4 linked regions of the Arabidopsis thaliana genome follow. The protein of the gene in region 3 interacts with the protein of the main gene of each other region in a pairwise test. Each region holds a gene or a part of one and is shown on either strand. Other genes may lie near its edges. The genes, in order: NIMIN-3, NIMIN1, NPR1 and CUL3.

Evidence for each region.
Region 1: the proteins of NPR1 (region 3) and NIMIN-3 interact in binary tests that used the Arabidopsis thaliana proteins (3 or more experiments, as listed by UniProt).
Region 2: the proteins of NPR1 (region 3) and NIMIN1 interact in binary tests that used the Arabidopsis thaliana proteins (3 or more experiments, as listed by UniProt).
Region 4: the proteins of NPR1 (region 3) and CUL3 interact in binary tests that used the Arabidopsis thaliana proteins (3 or more experiments, as listed by UniProt).

What each region holds. Positions count from the first base shown.
Region 1 is NC_003070.9:3,037,223-3,040,333, reverse strand, and holds NIMIN-3 (NIM1-interacting 3), read left to right. Parts: upstream 1-1,925; 5' UTR 1,926-2,085; coding exon 2,086-2,424; 3' UTR 2,425-2,580; downstream 2,581-3,111. Other genes in the region: G6PD4 (glucose-6-phosphate dehydrogenase 4), read left to right, coding at 16-221, 302-410, 510-544, 664-820, 891-1,087, 1,163-1,363, 1,457-1,694; AT1G09410 (pentatricopeptide (PPR) repeat-containing protein), read right to left, coding at 2,774-3,111.
Region 2 is NC_003070.9:497,386-500,270, forward strand, and holds NIMIN1 (NIM1-interacting 1), read right to left. Parts: upstream 1,155-2,885; 5' UTR 1,096-1,154; coding exon 667-1,095; 3' UTR 532-666; downstream 1-531. Other genes in the region: ARFD1A (ADP-ribosylation factor D1A), read right to left, coding at 1-94.
Region 3 is NC_003070.9:23,852,232-23,857,336, forward strand, and holds NPR1 (regulatory protein (NPR1)), read right to left. Parts: upstream 3,428-5,105; 5' UTR 3,177-3,427; coding exon 2,616-3,176; intron 2,537-2,615; coding exon 1,801-2,536; intron 1,693-1,800; coding exon 1,489-1,692; intron 1,379-1,488; coding exon 1,098-1,378; 3' UTR 517-1,097; downstream 1-516. UniProt on the Arabidopsis thaliana protein: Salicylic acid (SA)-binding substrate-specific adapter of an E3 ubiquitin-protein ligase complex (CUL3-RBX1-BTB) which mediates the ubiquitination and subsequent proteasomal degradation of target proteins.
Region 4 is NC_003070.9:9,293,534-9,299,129, reverse strand, and holds CUL3 (cullin 3), read right to left. Parts: upstream 3,566-5,596; 5' UTR 3,199-3,565; intron 3,078-3,198; 5' UTR 3,068-3,077; coding exon 2,907-3,067; intron 2,794-2,906; coding exon 756-2,793; 3' UTR 501-755; downstream 1-500. Other genes in the region: ORC6 (origin recognition complex protein 6), read right to left, coding at 48-94, 189-308; RNS3 (ribonuclease 3), read left to right, coding at 5,408-5,497, 5,581-5,596. UniProt on the Arabidopsis thaliana protein: Component of the cullin-RING ubiquitin ligases (CRL), or CUL3-RBX1-BTB protein E3 ligase complexes which mediate the ubiquitination and subsequent proteasomal degradation of target proteins.

The sequences.
Region 1 (3,111 bases), about 21 Mb from region 3:
GCTTTTCTTCTTCAGGGAGAATCAGAAGCAAATAGAATCTTTTACCTCTCAGTACCTCAAGAAGCTCTGGTGGATGTGGCATGCACCATTGGAGATAACGCTCAGGCACCACGAGGCTGGACTCGAATAATAGTTGAGAAACCTTTTGGTTTTAACTCACATTCGTCTCATCAGTTAACAAAGTCACTTCTCTCTAAGTTTGAAGAGAAGCAAATCTACAGGTCCTTCTTTTAAATCTAGTTGCTTTCTGCATGCACAGCTCTCAAGTTCATATTTCTTCACACTTCTGTGCCCGTTACAGGATAGATCACATGTTAGGAAGAAACCTCATTGAAAATCTGACAGTGTTAAGGTTTTCAAATCTAGTTTTTGAACCACTATGGAACAGAACATACATACGCAATATACAGGTAGTGTTTCCTTCTGATTGTTTGTAGTTGTGTATAGTGCCTGAACTTTCCTCTTCCACATTCTGGTTTGTTCACTTTGTGTATAAATGATGTTTCCAGGTTATTATATCAGAATCAATTGCGCAAACAGAAAAGTAAGGCACAATAGTTCTATTTTCACCATTTCTTTGCATGTGAGAGTAAATTGTGTTGTTTCAGCATTCTTAGACAAATCAGTAATGTTATTTTCTAATTTCCTACTGCTTTTTTTAAGGTTTTCTGATGGATATGGAATAATACGGGACATAGTGCACAGCCATATACTTCAGACAATCGCATTACTTGCCATGGAACCTCCGATAAGTCTCGATGGTGAAGATATCCGAAATGAAAAGGTCAACCTGTACTGTAAAGAACAAAATCGTCTTATGGTATATATGTAAGTTGTGTACTCTTGTTCTGTCAAGTGACTTGGTGACAAACCTGCTTCTGCAGGTGAAGGTTTTAAGATCAATTCGCAAGATAGACCCGCGTGATGTCATCCTTGGCCAGTATAAATCCAGTTCCCGAGACAAGAACGGTGTGATCTTGAACGGTGTAGACCCTACATATTGTGCAGCAGCCTTGTATATTGATAATGCACGTTGGGATGGTGTACCTTTCCTTGTAAGAGTTGGCACTGGCCTCATTAAACACAGGTAAGAATAATTATTCCTACTCATAGACATATCCAACTGTCATAACAATTGATTGGTGTGCCTTAATGTTGAAAGAGTGGAGATTCATGTGCAATTCCGGCATGTTCCTGGAAACCTATACCGAGAAAATATTGGAATAAACATAGATTTGGGGACAAATGAGCTTATTCTACGTGACGAACCTGATGAGGCCATCCTGGTGAAAATCAACAACAAGGTTCCTGGTTTAGGTCTTCAGCTAGACGCTTCTGAACTTAACTTGCTCTATAAAGACAGGCAAGTTTTGCATTCTCATCTTTGTTCCTACACATTTTAAAAATCGAACTTTTGCGCCTTATGGTTGGTTGAATTGTTGGATCAAACCTGTAGGTATAAAACCGAAGTACCAGACTCATATGAACACCTAATTCATGATGTAATTGACGGAGACAATCATCTGTTCATGAGAAGCGATGAGGTTGCAGCAGCATGGAACATTCTTAGTCCGGTTCTAGAAGAGATAGACAAGCATCACACAGCTCCGGAGTTGTATGAATTTGGTGGACGAGGACCAGTTGCGGCATACTATCTTTGGGCCAAGCACGGTGTCCCATGGGCAGATGACTGAAGAAGAAACATAGATGCAGCAACAAACAAATGAGAGTGATTCTGAATGGTTATTGTGAAGTGTGTTTGTTTAGCTTGAAGCTGTGCCATTCCCTGTAGACTGTACATATGTACACATGTATGTCATGTTGCTATATGAATGTCCATCATGGTGGGGTCCATAATAGTGTTGAAAAGTCTCCAAAGCCACCCAAAGGAAAGAAGAAAGTCTGAGAGACTTTTAGATAAGGTCATGTTGTTAGTCTTCCCACTAGAGGCAATAATTATATCTTCTCCACCAATTCCTCCAGAAAATTCTTCCAGATGTATCATGTGTTGATGATCAAAGTAGGATGAAAATGATGTAACTAAAGAGAAACATTTTCATAGGGGAAGGAAGAGAGAGCGGTTCAATGGACAGAGACAGAAAGAGGGTGAAAATGGAGAAGGAAGATGACGAAGAAGAAAAGATGGAGAAGTTGTACACAGTGCTTAAAAACGCAAGGGAAATGCGGAAATATGTCAACAGCTCCATGGAGAAGAAGAGACAGGAAGAAGAAGAAAGAGCAAGGGTTCGTAGATTCCCTTCGTTTCAGCCAGAAGATTTCATTTTCATGAATAAAGCAGAGGCCAACAACATTGAAAAAGCAGCTAATGAGAGCTCTTCAGCATCCAACGAGTATGATGGCTCTAAGGAAAAGCAAGAAGGATCTGAGACTAACGTTTGTTTAGACTTGAATCTTTCTCTGTAGCATACATACATACAAGAGACAAAGAGCTCTTCAGTTTCTGTATAAGCAACAAAGAATGTTAGTAACTACGTACCAAAAACAAATGTGTCATGGAATTCTAGTTTTGCTTGAAGATTGTTCATCACTTCTTATTAACCATATTGAAGAAAATGCTACAAATGCACATTGATAACAAGATCAGTAAAAAAATATATATATATTAGCAGAAGAACTTAGAGAGAACTCTCATCAATGGCTGAGCAAGTTCCTATGGTTTGCGAGAATTACTCCATTTTGCCAACGCTCCAACGAGGATTGATAGCTAAGCCTAAGATTAAAAAAAAACATTCTGCTTGGCATTTATTGAATCTCACCAGTAATCTTTACAGGAACACTCTCCGTTTCTGAAGTGATGGAATCTGTTTGCATCTCTTAGAATGATCTCCCTCTCTTTCACCTTAGAGATTATTTTTATTGCTGTGTGGCAATCACTACAAACTCTAAGGTTCTTCATGACTCGGATGGGTATTCCTTCAGATAGCTTTAAAAGAGCATAAGCTACCGCTAGTCTCTCGCTATGATATTTCAGGCTATTGACTTTCTCTTCCTCGTCTACATCGTGCAATGCATAGCTGCAATCAGGATTATACCCGGCTTCTCTCAATAACCCATCCAATTCATCCAGTATCTTCAAAATAGATTCCTGCT
Region 2 (2,885 bases), about 23 Mb from region 3:
ATGATTTTCCGGTACCGCCGAGACCAAACAACACGATCCTCGCTTCTTCTTGGTGAAAAAAACCGGCAAATGGCTTTCCCAGAGTCGTCCCCATTTTTTTCTGGTTCTTGCAACGAAGTTGACTTTTTTTGGCTTTGGAAAATATGAATCACAAGGAGAGTCCTTGAGAGAGTTTTTCAAAGTCAAGTGGTGGTTAAAGCTTAAGAGTTCAGAGTTGTCTAGTCTGTTTCAAGATCCGAGGAATCACAATCAAAAGTCATCTGGTTGACTTTTGGATTATTAGTTGTCCGATTCATATTTGTTTATGCAACTAGTTGCGTATTTGTTATAATCTTTATATTTGACTAGATAACAAATCTGGTCAGCAAAAAAGGTTTAAAGTAATGATCTTCTTAAACAGATAATTATACAACACATAAAATTTAAACAAACTTTGCAATATTCAATTCTTACAGAATGATAAATTTTATTGGTTTTGGTTTTGCTCTAAAGAATTACGGTTTACCGAATCAATCCCATCTGACAGGATGTTTTGCCTCACGATTCTTTTGAGTTTATTCATTTTAAAGTTAATTATCGGACATTTTAGTTAAATGAAGGATTTAATAATCACAACGCTAACAAATGAAACATGGACAATTAAAAATAGATTAAAACTAATTGCTACTACAATGCAAGATTAAGATCTAAAGCCTTGTCTTCGTTTCGCTCTTCTGTTTGATCTTCTTCTTGTTCCACCTTTGTATTTTCTTCCTTGTGATCCGAAACAAACATCAATGGCGGCTTCAAACCCGTACGACACTGAGAGAAATCCTCCGGCTGAAACGCCGGAACTACTATACCGGACCTTTCTCCGCCGTTAGATTTCCTCCTCACGACGCCAGAATTTTCAGCTAACTCTTCTCGTCTACGTTTCCGTGCTTCTTGATAGTGTTTGATAAGCTTAAAGAACGTATCAATCTTCTTCTCTTCTTCCTCTTCTTCGTCTTCTCTTACTCTCTTATCAACCCTGATCGTCTCTTTGCTCTCCACATTCTCATCCTTGCTCATGGTCTCTAGGGAATAATTGTATAAACTAAATTGTTTAGGATACATTTAGAGAAAGTGATTGATTTTGGAGAGTGAAGAAGGCAAATAATCCTTTTCGTCTGATGACTTTCTTTTAAAGGAAAAAAATTAGTCATCACGAAACTTCTTAGAAAAAGACTAAAACACCCTGTCCCCACCTCTTTTACTCTTTAGTCCTTTTAGTTTCCTAGTTACAATTTAAACCACAAAAAACGAAAATTGGAGATATTTTTCCAAGTTAGTTAGGATATTTAATTTCGAAACTTTATAAATGGGTTTTTTGGTTCCCTGTAAATTCAAAATAGTAATCATAATTTTTATAATTGTTAAAAAAGGGACCAGGGGTAAAAGAGTAAAAGAACGCGGAGATATCAACGTTAAAATTACGTCAGATGATGATGTGTTTGGGATGACAACGTGACATGAAGCGGTTACGAGATGATGTCACAATGATGACGTAATCTATACAACACTAATCTACTTGGATATACTTTTGAAATAAAGAAAGACTCTAATCATCAAAAACTTGACTTGATGCGTTTACTTTACTCGTGGTTGGTCTTGGAGAGATATTCTAGTAGATCCGAGTGTACAGCACTCTATTACTATCAACCGTTAGATCTAATATTTCAGGCATATGTTTTTGAATCTAAGGATGGAGAATACCATAATGCTTGAAAAGGTTGATATATTAACGTACTATTTTACTATTAAATTGTGAATGATGAGGTTATATAAAAGATTTGTCGAATAAAATCTCATATTGTCGGCCACTTGTATGTAAATTAAATTAATTTGTATATGTGAAATTTGTGTGGAACAATTGGATTCCAACGAAGAACATTTTTTCCCCTATTTTTGGTATTTTAAATGAATGGTAATTAGATTACCTCTATTGATGTTACATAAACAAAAAGAAACTAGATTTTAACCCGCGGTATATCGCGGGACGATTTATTTTTAAAAATAATATATATTAAAACTTGCAAATTTTATTTTTATAAAATATTTATATTTTACAGTTTATAATTGTTATTAAGTAACGCTATACCACGAATTCATGAGACAATTGTTAAAAAAACTGAAGTTTTGACCCCTATTAAAACAGCATATTAATAATATTTTAAAATTTTATAAATATTGATTCAAATACATCCACCATATAACCCAATTCCAAAATAAAACACGTTCTGTAATTTCTTTAGGCGTCCCATGATTTTTTTTTAAAGTAGTAATTTTTAAAATTTAAGAATTATTTTTTATATATAAAAGTTTTGCAAATTGTATCATTCTCTAATACATTTATATTTTATAGTTTAATTTTATATATAGTAACATTATACATACCACATAACATTTTTGGTTTTATATAATTTTTTCTAAATTAGGATGATTTGATATGTTTAATATTAGTGGTCTTAAAATTAATGATTTAACCCATATTGAAACGGTGGATTAATTATATTTTACTTTTTTATTAATGTTGATTCAAAAACTCGTCCCTCCATGTTGACTCTGAATTATAATCTAAACATTTTAGCTAATAACATAAGAGTGCACCATATTTATTTAATAGGGGAATGTACCATATGACCTGAATGCATTTTTATCCAAATCCACCAAAACATTCTTGCAAAAATACTATAGAGATAAGAAACGATAGTCGGTTTTGATAGATATAAGATTAGCAAATATATTAGTTAGCTTAAATTAGTTAAAGAATACAAATTAAAAAGGTATATTACACTTTATTCAAATATAGTATCAAAACTTATATAACACAGAGATTTGATAATTTTTTAATTGTTGAATACTTT
Region 3 (5,105 bases):
AAATTGATGATTTCCTCAGGACTCGACGCTGATGATTGCTTTTTCCCGCTTGCCTTTCCGCTTACCAAAGAAGTGTCCACTGATAGTTGGCGTTGGTTTCTCACTAATATCAGAGAGAAGGTAACACAAAGGAAAGACGTTTGCCTCGTCTCCAGTCCTCACCCGGACATAGTTGCTGTTATTAACGAACCCGGATCACTGTGGCAAGAACCTTGGGTCTATCACAGGTTCTGTCTGGATTGTTTTTGCTTACAATTCCATGATATTTTTGGAGACTACAACCTGGTGAGCCTTGTGAAGCAGGCTGGATCCACAAGTCAGAAGGAAGAATTTGATTCCTACATAAAGGACATCAAAAAGAAGGACTCAGAAGCTCGGAAATGGTTAGCCCAATTCCCTCAAAATCAGTGGGCTCTGGCTCATGACCAGTGGTCGGAGATATGGAGTCATGACGATAGAAACAGAAGATTTGAGGGCAATTTGTGAAAGCTTTCAGTCTCTTGGTCTATCAGTGACAGCGAACGCACCTGCACATGTGGGAAGTTTCAATCGAAGAAGTTTCCATGTATGCACCCAGAAATGGTGCAAAGGATTGTTAACTTGTGTCATTCACAAATGTTGGATGCAATGGAGCTGACTAGGAGAATGCACCTTACACGCCCACTCAGTGTTCTCTTATCTCTAGACCTGAAACTAACTTGCTGTGTAATTCGAGTTACAAAAGGTTAAAGGAAGAATTAGGAAGATACATATAACATGAATGTTGCCAGAAGTTCAGGGAACTTGAATATTCTTTTGGTTCTTGGTGGAAAATATCCAACAGATGAACAATTTGACATTATTTCACACTTTGATTCTAGCAACTCTGTAACACCATCATGGGTTATTGTTGATGTACATAAATATATATTACAAATCTGTATACCATTGGTTCAAATTGTTACAACATTTGTTTGAAGCACACCTGCAGCAATAATACACAGGATGCAAAACGAAGAGCGAAACTATATGACGCCAACGATAGACATAAACAGTTACAGTCATCATGAAAACAGAATTATATGGTACAGCAAAAATTACACTAAGAGGCAAGAGTCTCACCGACGACGATGAGAGAGTTTACGGTTAGACCTCTTTCCACCGGTTGATTTCGATGTGGAAGAAGTCGAATCTGTCAGGGACGAATTTCCTAATTCCAAATTGTCCTCACTAAAGGCCTTCTTTAGTGTCTCTTGTATTTCCATGTACCTTTGCTTCTTTTGTAGTCGTTTCTCAGCAGTGTCGTCTTCTCCGCAAGCCAGTTGAGTCAAGTCCTCACAGTTCATAATCTGGTCGAGCACTGCCGAACAGCGCGGGAAGAATCGTTTCCCGAGTTCCACTGATGATAAAAAAACAAGGTCAGACAGCAAGTAACAAAACCATGTTTAAAGATCATTTAGTTTTGTTTTTTGTGATAAGGAGTCCGATGAAGTGGGTGAGAATCCATACCGGTTTTAGAAAGCGCTTTTAGTCTACTTTGATGCTCTTCTAGGATTCTGAAAGGTGCTATCTTTACACCCGGTGATGTTCTCTTCGTACCAGTGAGACGGTCAGGCTCGAGGCTAGTCACTATGAACTCACATGTTCCCTTCATTTCGGCGATCTCCATTGCAGCTTGTGCTTCCGTTGGAAAAAGACGTTGAGCAAGTGCAACTAAACAGTGGACGACACAAAGAATAGTTATCATTAGTTCACTCAGTTTCCTAATAGAGAGGACATAAATTTAATTCAAACATATAAGAAATAAGACTTGATAGATACCTCTATTTTCAAGATCGAGCAGCGTCATCTTCAATTCATCGGCCGCCACTGCAAAAGAGGGAGGAACATCTCTAGGAATTTGTTCTCGTTTGTCTTCTTGCTCTAGTATTTCTACACATAGTCGGCCTTTGAGAGAATGCTTGCATTGCTCCGGGATATTATTACATTCAACCGCCATAGTGGCTTGTTTTGCGATCATGAGTGCGGTTCTACCTTCCAAAGTTGCTTCTGATGCACTTGCACCTTTTTCCAATAGAGATAGTATCAATTGTGGCTCCTTCCGCATCGCAGCAACATGAAGCACCGTATATCCCCTCGGATTCCTATGGTTGACATCGGCAAGATCAAGTTTTAAAAGATCTGTTGCGGTCTTCACATTGCAATATGCAACAGCGAAATGAAGAGCACACGCATCATCTAGATTGGTGTGATCCTCTTTCAAAAGCAACTTGACTAACTCAATATCATCCGAGTCAAGTGCCTTATGTACATTCGAGACATGTTTCTTTACTTTAGGTACCTCCAAACCAAGCTCTTTACGTCTATCAATTATCTCTTTAACAAGCTCTTCCGGCAATGACTTTTCAAGACTAACCATATCTACATTAGACTTGACAATAATCTCTTTACATCTATCCAATAGCTTCATACAAGCTTTACCACATATATTAGCAAGCTTGAGTATAACCAATGTGTCCTCTATAACAACTTTGTCTACAACGTCCAATAAGTGCCTCTGAAATACAAATACAAGTACTCAAGTAAGAACATATTCATGAATGTGTAACCATAGCTTAATGCAGATGGTGTTTTACCTGATAGAGAGTAATTAATTCAGGGATCTTGAAGATGAAAGCCAAATAGAGAACCTCCAACATGAAATCCACCGCCGGCCGGCAAGCCACGTGGCAGCAATTCTCGTCTGCGCATTCAGAAACTCCTTTAGGCGGCGGTCTCACTCTGCTGCTGTAAACATAAGCCAAAACAGTCACAACCGAATCGAAACCGACTTCGTAATCCTTGGCAATCTCCTTAAGCTCGAGCTTCACGGCGGCGGTGTTGTTGGAGTCTTTCTCCTTCTTAGCGGCGGCTAAAGCGCTCTTGAAGAAAGAGCTTCTCGCTGACAAAACGCACCGGTGGAAAGAAACTTCCCGGCCGTCGGAGAGAACAAGCTTAGCGTCGCTGTAGAAATCATCCGGCGAGTCAAAGACGGATTCGAAGCTGTTGGAGAGCAATTGCAGAGCAGATACATCAGGTCCGGTGAGTACTTGTTCGGCGGCCAGATAAACAATAGAGGAGTCGGTGTTATCGGTAGCGACGAAACTAGTGCTGCTGATTTCATAAGAATCGGCGAATCCATCAATGGTGGTGTCCATCAACAGGTTCCGATGAATTGAAATTCACAAATTAAAGAGATCTCTGCTAATCAACGAAGAGACCTTATCAACTGGATTTGGTTAAAGATCGAAGATAACCATTGACGAGCAGAGCCAAGTCAAGTCAACGAGAGTGGTGGTGAGATATGAAGAAGCATCCTCGTCCCACGGTTTACATTTCACCAAAACCGGTAAATTTCCAGGAAAGGAATCTTTGTCAGAGATCTTTTTTAAAAAGATATAACAGGAAGCTAAACCGGTTCGGGTTATAAATGTTAGTATTTATACCGGAGACATTTTGTGTTGCTAATTTTTGTATATGAGAAGTTCAATCCGGTTCGGTAAGCCCCTGAACCAAACTAGATTTGGAGATGATATAAATATATAAAATTTATTTTTCATCCGGTTCGTTATTTTCATATAAATATATAAATATTATTTTTTAAATTTAAGAATTAGATTTACATGTGAAAGTTACATTTCTGTTTATTTTCTTTGAAGTAAAATGATAAAGGGAACGTATATTAAGTTTCATGCTTTATTCACATAAGTTTTGTAATGTATATTATATTTTTCGTTTATTGAAAAAGTAATTTTCAGTGTTCAGCATGTTTACACTATAATTAAATCAAGTCGAATATTTCCTGGAACTATTCTCCTTGTTCTATAGCAAATGAAAACGCTCTTCACAACAAAATCATTATAGATATAGGAATAAATTACATTAAAAACATGAAAGTCATAATGAATATATTTTTTTAATTAGGATTTGATTTAAAAACAATTATTGTATACATATAAAAGACTTCTTTAGTTATTTGCCTTCAACTTCTCGTTCTGAATCATGCGATAAATCAGCTTTTTCAATAACTACGACGTAAAAGCAAATTCATAACACGTCTAAACAAATTTGGCTCATCCTTCACTTGATTGGTGTTTTCCGGACTCGATGTTGCTGGAAACTGAGAAGAAGAAGGAATCTGCATAATCACCTCTTGGTTCCTCACCGGTAGACTCATTTTGTTGGATCGAAAACGATCGAGATCAGAAAATGAAAAGATAGGTTAAAGATGCCTATGAATACAACAACGTAAGATTATGTTGAATAAACAGAGTACTTTATATAGGAGTTATAATAAGGTAAATAAATTATTGCTTTCCGCGTTTTTTACTTTTGTATTTCTTAAATGATAAGTTAAATTAGGATAAGATTTGTATGATTTTAAGTAAATTTACAATAACTCTCTATAACTCAATAGCATCACATATTTAATTAATTTTACTAATTATCTTTTGAACAATTTTATGAAATAGTTTTCTTTTAATTAATTTTTTAAAATGATATATTATAAAATTTAATTGAATCAATCTGATATAATTTTTTTATCTTCTACCATCTATTATAGTTGATAAATATTGTGATAAACTTTAGATAAACACCCAATTGCCAAATATTTAATAAATTTTGTGTACCATGCGTTTTTTTTGGAGAATATATATACGTGGACAGCATACCGTACATATATTGTATAAAAGCTTATAAAACATAGATACGGGTTATATTGGTAAGCTATAAATATATGTAAACAATAGTAAGATATTACGTGTTGTGTCTAAATATGTGTTGCTTTAGATATTATTGTATATCTAATATATTAAAATATCTTTTATTAACTAATATATTATTTAAGAGAGAAAATTGGGACACTATTTTCTATACAGTAACTGTTTTCAACTATAAACAGGAACCCTTGATATAATAAAATAACTAGCCAAAAAATCAGATTAAATATTCATAAAACAATGTTTGGTATTATTACATAAACCTAAGAAACAAAATTCAATATTCCTTTTTACCTTATAAAAAACAATTAAACATCACTAGATATATTTATGCCCCACAATGAGCGAGCCAATTGAGACTTGAGA
Region 4 (5,596 bases), about 15 Mb from region 3:
ACTATGGATATTGAAATCGTTATAAATCAATTACGATAATTATTTACCTAGTGGCGGCGATTTCTAGACAAATCACAGCTTTACAGATCTCACCCTGATAGAAAAATCAAATTCTCAACACATAAGGAAAAATTATAATCAAAGTACTCGATGTGAAACTTTGGGATTCAGAATCGGATTTATCTTACAACGCCGATGATGGATGAATCGAACTGAGCATCGCAAAGACGGCGGATCTCTGCAGCTTTTCTGATTAAAAGCTTGTTGTTATCGAGACTAAGTTTCCTACCTATGTCGGAGATATCCATATCCTTAATTTTCCGGCGATTGTTACAAGACAAAGAACCAAAGTCAGACACTGTGAGAGATTTTTTCCCCTAGAAATGTCAATGGAACCGATTAGGCTATGAAAACGCTATAAACAAAGCGTTGCCAACGTTTGGCGGGATTTTTTTACGCCTGGTTGAAATTTTAGCCGCGAATGTTTTTTTTGGCTCTTAACCGTTTAAAATGGGCCTTAAAAGGCCTCGAGCCGGCCCAACGTGTCCAGAAGCTGAAATCACATACGGTATCTGATGAAAGACAAAAGAAAAGGAAACAAATGTATATTCGATTAAACCGGTAGTGACGCTGTGTTGGTTCGTTCTTACCGACTACCGTACAGTTCAAAAGATTTTACATCAAACATAAGGAAATAAAGCAAAGAAAGAAACAGAGTAAAGCCTTTTTTTTTTGGGTTGTGGTATTCAACTTATTTAGGCTAGATAGCGGTAAAGTTTCCGGTCTGTACTATCCCTTTCCAAGAAATCTCGTTCAATGAGCGACTCGATTCTCTTCTTTATCTCCGTGGGATTAGCTAGGAACCGTGGCTGCAACTGTTTCGTCACCTCGGCGATTATGTTGTTGTGGTCTAGTATTTTCCTGGACTTCATGATCCTTACGATGGCTGCTTCAATCTGAGGTTTTCTGTCTTCCTCCACTCTCTGTCTCGTCTCTTGCTTCTCCGGTTCTGTTTCCTTTTGGGCAACCACAGTTCCGATCTTCACTTTGTAAAACTTGCTAGTGAACTTGTCGTTCACAACGAACAAATCCTCCTCTCCTATGTCTTTGCTCATGGGTTCTTTCTTTATCACGTTTTTGCCCTTTACACAAGCTAGCGACTGCAAACAGCGTTTAAGATCTGCTGCCGGGATTTCTGTAGCCTGTTCGATCTCTTTGTAGCTGAGTCGATCAGAATTGTTGAACAACATGAGAACACACATCTGGAAAGTCGACACGTTCAGTTCATGTTTCTGACCCTTTCCAAAGATGGCTTTGATATCTGCTGTGCCCATGTTTGTTTGCCAGGACAATCTTCTACCGGTATGTGTCCCAAGGTAGTAAGAACGGAACTTCTCACAGAGAACTGAAACTTCAGCTGGGAGATTACAAGGTACTGCAGGCTGTGTTGGCCAAGAACCAGTTGTAAGTACCTGAACAATAAGTGTAGGTCCTTCTGAAAGCTCGGGGTGACTGCCATAAAACCCACGCATTGTGTCCTCTGAAGTCTTCATGTCAGTGAACATGCCTTCCAATTTTGAAGTGAACTGATAGCCACATTCTGTCTTTAGTTTCACTATTAAACTCCTTTCTGCGTCATCTGACACAGTTTTGCCTGAGAGAAGCCTTTTAGCCAAATGCTGCTTGTAGTACTTCTCAAAGACATCTTTCTCTTGTAAATAACGGAACAGCATCATCACTTTATCAAGGATAACCTCAACATCCACATCGGTGATACCCTTAAGTCCTTTCCGTAGCTTGTCATCAACAAACAGGGAGATAAACTCAGGAGAACGAGCATTCAAGTTGATGAAATACTCGAATGAAGAATTCAGGGCATTCTGAAAGGTTTTATCATTGCCAAATGCGGTGTTGATGATTTTGTCATATTTATCCCGCTCATCCAATAGACGTTGTACAAATTCCACCGGATCCTTTGACTTTTCCGGATCAGTAACCAGTTGTTTTCCCATCTCCCTAAGATGCGAAGTCATAACGTCTCTGACAGTAACAAGACCATTAGTAACCCTGCGAAACAAGTTGTACATTCTACCCAAATCCTCATACTTGTCATTCAGAAGCATATTAACCAGACCTGAGTTCTCCATGTGAACCAGTCTCTGCATGTGGTTGGCAATCATCTCTTTCTCAACCACACTAGTAATCTTCTCTTCGCTCTTGGCATCTAAGTAGTGCGCTACCCTCTCTATCTCTTCAGTAAGGCGTTTCTCTGATTTCTTCAGATAGTCCCCACAATCACAAGATTCAATAAACTCCTGAGACTCAACCTTATAAAACTCAGAAGACGCATCCAAAAACGGCTTCTCAAAATCCTCCTGATACACAGATTCACCCAAATCCATAAACATCTTAATGACATTCCTCATCAACCCCCTATCAATAACTTCACCTATCCGTTCCTTCTGCACTAGATCAAGAAGAGTGTTTAGAAGCCTTGTATGTATCTTAGTGAAATGCACAACATTATCCCTCCACAAGTTAAGCCCCATCGGATGAACATGAGTCTTTTTGGTGCTCTCAATATAAGTCCTATCCATATACATGAGAATGTCTCGAATCATCTCTAACGCTTTGTTGTGCTCATTCCATTTCTTATTAAGCTCTTCTAGAAACGACCCTCCCTGAGCTGCCTCGATAAGCTTGGATTTTTCTTTGAGATGAGAAGTCATAGTAGCAATAAACCCAGTATATAGCTTCTCACCAAACTTGTGCAGGACCATGTTGTACGCATTTCTGAGCCACAATATACACAAATAATTCCATTAACACGAAACCTAGCTAAGTTCCAGAAACATTACCAGTTTCTACAGGATTCAAAGAAAGGCAAGAGAATGAAAGAAATTGACCTGTAAAGTTCTTCGAAACTGAGACCGCTAGCATCTTGATTGTAAATCTGATGGATCGCACGCTCAAGAATCTGCCAAGTTTTATCAGCGTATTTGGGATCCACAACGACTCGATGCTTAAACGCCTCTATCTGAAAATTCCTCTTCTTCTGATTACTCATATTTTGAAACCTGAATCCAAAACAAATCAATCTAAATTCACACAGCAACGAAAAAATTGACGAGCGAGAAGAAAGTATATATGTATAATCATAATGAAAATCAGGTGGATCGAGGAAATCGGAAGACTGACCGGAGAGGAAAGACGGATGATCGGGATTAGGGTTTGGAATTGTATTCTTTGCTTCCGTGAAAAGATTTGGGGGAAACAAAAAGATAGGAAATGGAATAATAATCGAAAAGTTTAAAGGAGAAAGAAGCTTAAGGCTAATTTGCAGCGTCGAAGAGATATAGATAGAGAGGTATCGGAGAAGATAGATTTCGAAGGTGGAGAAGAAGAAGAGGACAGACCAAACGGAGCGGAAGAAATAAAAGTGGACTCTCCGTCTCTGCTGGTGGTTTCCAAACTATAACGTATTTATTAAATTAAAGTCGCGGTTGTCACATTCTCGTCCTTTGGTATATTGGTTACAAAGAATTGTGAAATATCGAAGTCCAAGGATCGATCCCTAGTCGAAGCCAGTTATTTTTTTTTTTTTGACATTGGAGGTTTAGTTAGCTTTTATACTTATGTGGATATGACAAATTGGCACGTCGGTCATTTCATTTAATTGAACTAAAAATATGTCAACTTCTATTTCATAAAGAGGCTTTGAATCCCTTAGAGTGGCGAATGTTGCTTCTCCTCTTTTGGCAGAAGCCATGGCGCTTCATCTAGCCCAACAAAATGCCTTAGAACTCGGTTTTAGGAAGTCACCTTCGCTTCAGATTTGCAAACGCTGATCAAAGCTATCAACTCAGAATCCTTCCCAAAGAATCTCTACGTGATTTTCCAAGATGTTCTTGCTCTTTCGTTTAATTTCGATCAAATTTCTTTTCACTTCATTTTTAGAGAAAAAAACGGTTGTGCATATGCATATGCAAAATCTGCATTAAATTATGCACTTATTGTACCAACTTATGTATCGGTTTAAGTTTCGGTTTAATGAAATTTCAGCTTCTTGACGAAAAAAAAAAATCCCTTTTAATTCATTCACAAAAAAAGTTATATCGTCTGTTACCTTTCTCTTCACCAGTTTACCAACCTTTGTTGCTTGCATTCACTGTTTCGATGCCATATTCAATCGTCTCTATGCATCTGTTTAAAAAATGCATTTCCTCCACAACTTCAGCGACACTATGTTCTAACTTCTAACTAGTTTTTGTCGTTGTAAACACGTCAATGGATCTTCTTCCTTATCCCTGGTCAAGCTCATGATGATATTCTTTGTCTTTGCTTTCTTGAAGCCATTTTCTGGAAAGCAACGCATGGTATATACCATCTTTCTTGTTTTAATCATACAAACTTTGACTTGGACCTATCTTCTTACTTTTCATTGTATAATCTACAAACTTTATAACAATCTTCACCTTCCCTATAAGGTTAACCCAACTAGTGGATTATTCGTATCCACCTCAAGCGCCAAAACATGGTAAGGATCATTGGTAGATTTTAGTATGATTGTGAGGTAGGATCATTGCCGGCTCAAAGTTATGGGCGGTCTAAAGTTTTTTTTTTTTAATAAAAAAATTAGCAGAAGTAGTTGAGGGAACTCGAACACACAACCTCTTGGCTGAAAATGTGACATAAATCGCTGCACTGTAAGGAATTTTTATAATTTTATTGCCCCCAAATATTTGTGATACCTAAGGTTCTTGCATAAATGCAGAACTTGATAGAATACGGTACACACTGGAGTCTGTAACTGTAGAAGTAGAACCAAGTAGCCAACATGCGCCTCATCAAGAAACTTGACGTACGTTTCCGAGACGGGACAATGGTTTGATTTATGCCTTTATGGGTCTTTAACACTTTATGAGAAACAAGGATCTTTAAGTGGATTTAAATATTTAAAATTTAAGAAACAAAGGTCTTTAAGTGAATACTATAAGAGTTTCTTTATTTATTTTTCCAATCGAATACTCATAATTTTATAAATACTGAGACACATAATATTCGGCTAGCTCTAAAACATTGGAGCTGGAAAGTTTGCCTTACGTTACGTTAATTGGAGCTACAAAATACTCATAATTTTGTAGTTGAAGCATGATGAAAAGTTTGCCTTACGTTATTACTTTTTAAAGCATTGGAGCTGAAAATAAAATGCTTGCACGAAATACTAACCTAACACAATTAAGCAAACATATACCAATCACACGTCACGTCTCTCTACCCAAAACAAAATATCACACTTCACGTTATATGACTTATATAAACATATTCTAAACTATTTATCTATCATCCATCCTTCATTGGTTTTCGACAAATTTGATTCCCACAAATTATTTGATATCTTGAGGAAATGAAATTCTTCATTTTTATTCTAGCGTTACAACAACTCTACGTACAAAGTTTCGCCCAAGATTTCGATTTCTTCTACTTCGTTTTACAGGTAATTAAAGTCGATAAATGTCTCTACAAGAATTATCATTGTACTTTGAAATTTTATGTTTGTGTATGTGCGTTGCAATGCAGTGGCCTGGAGCGTATT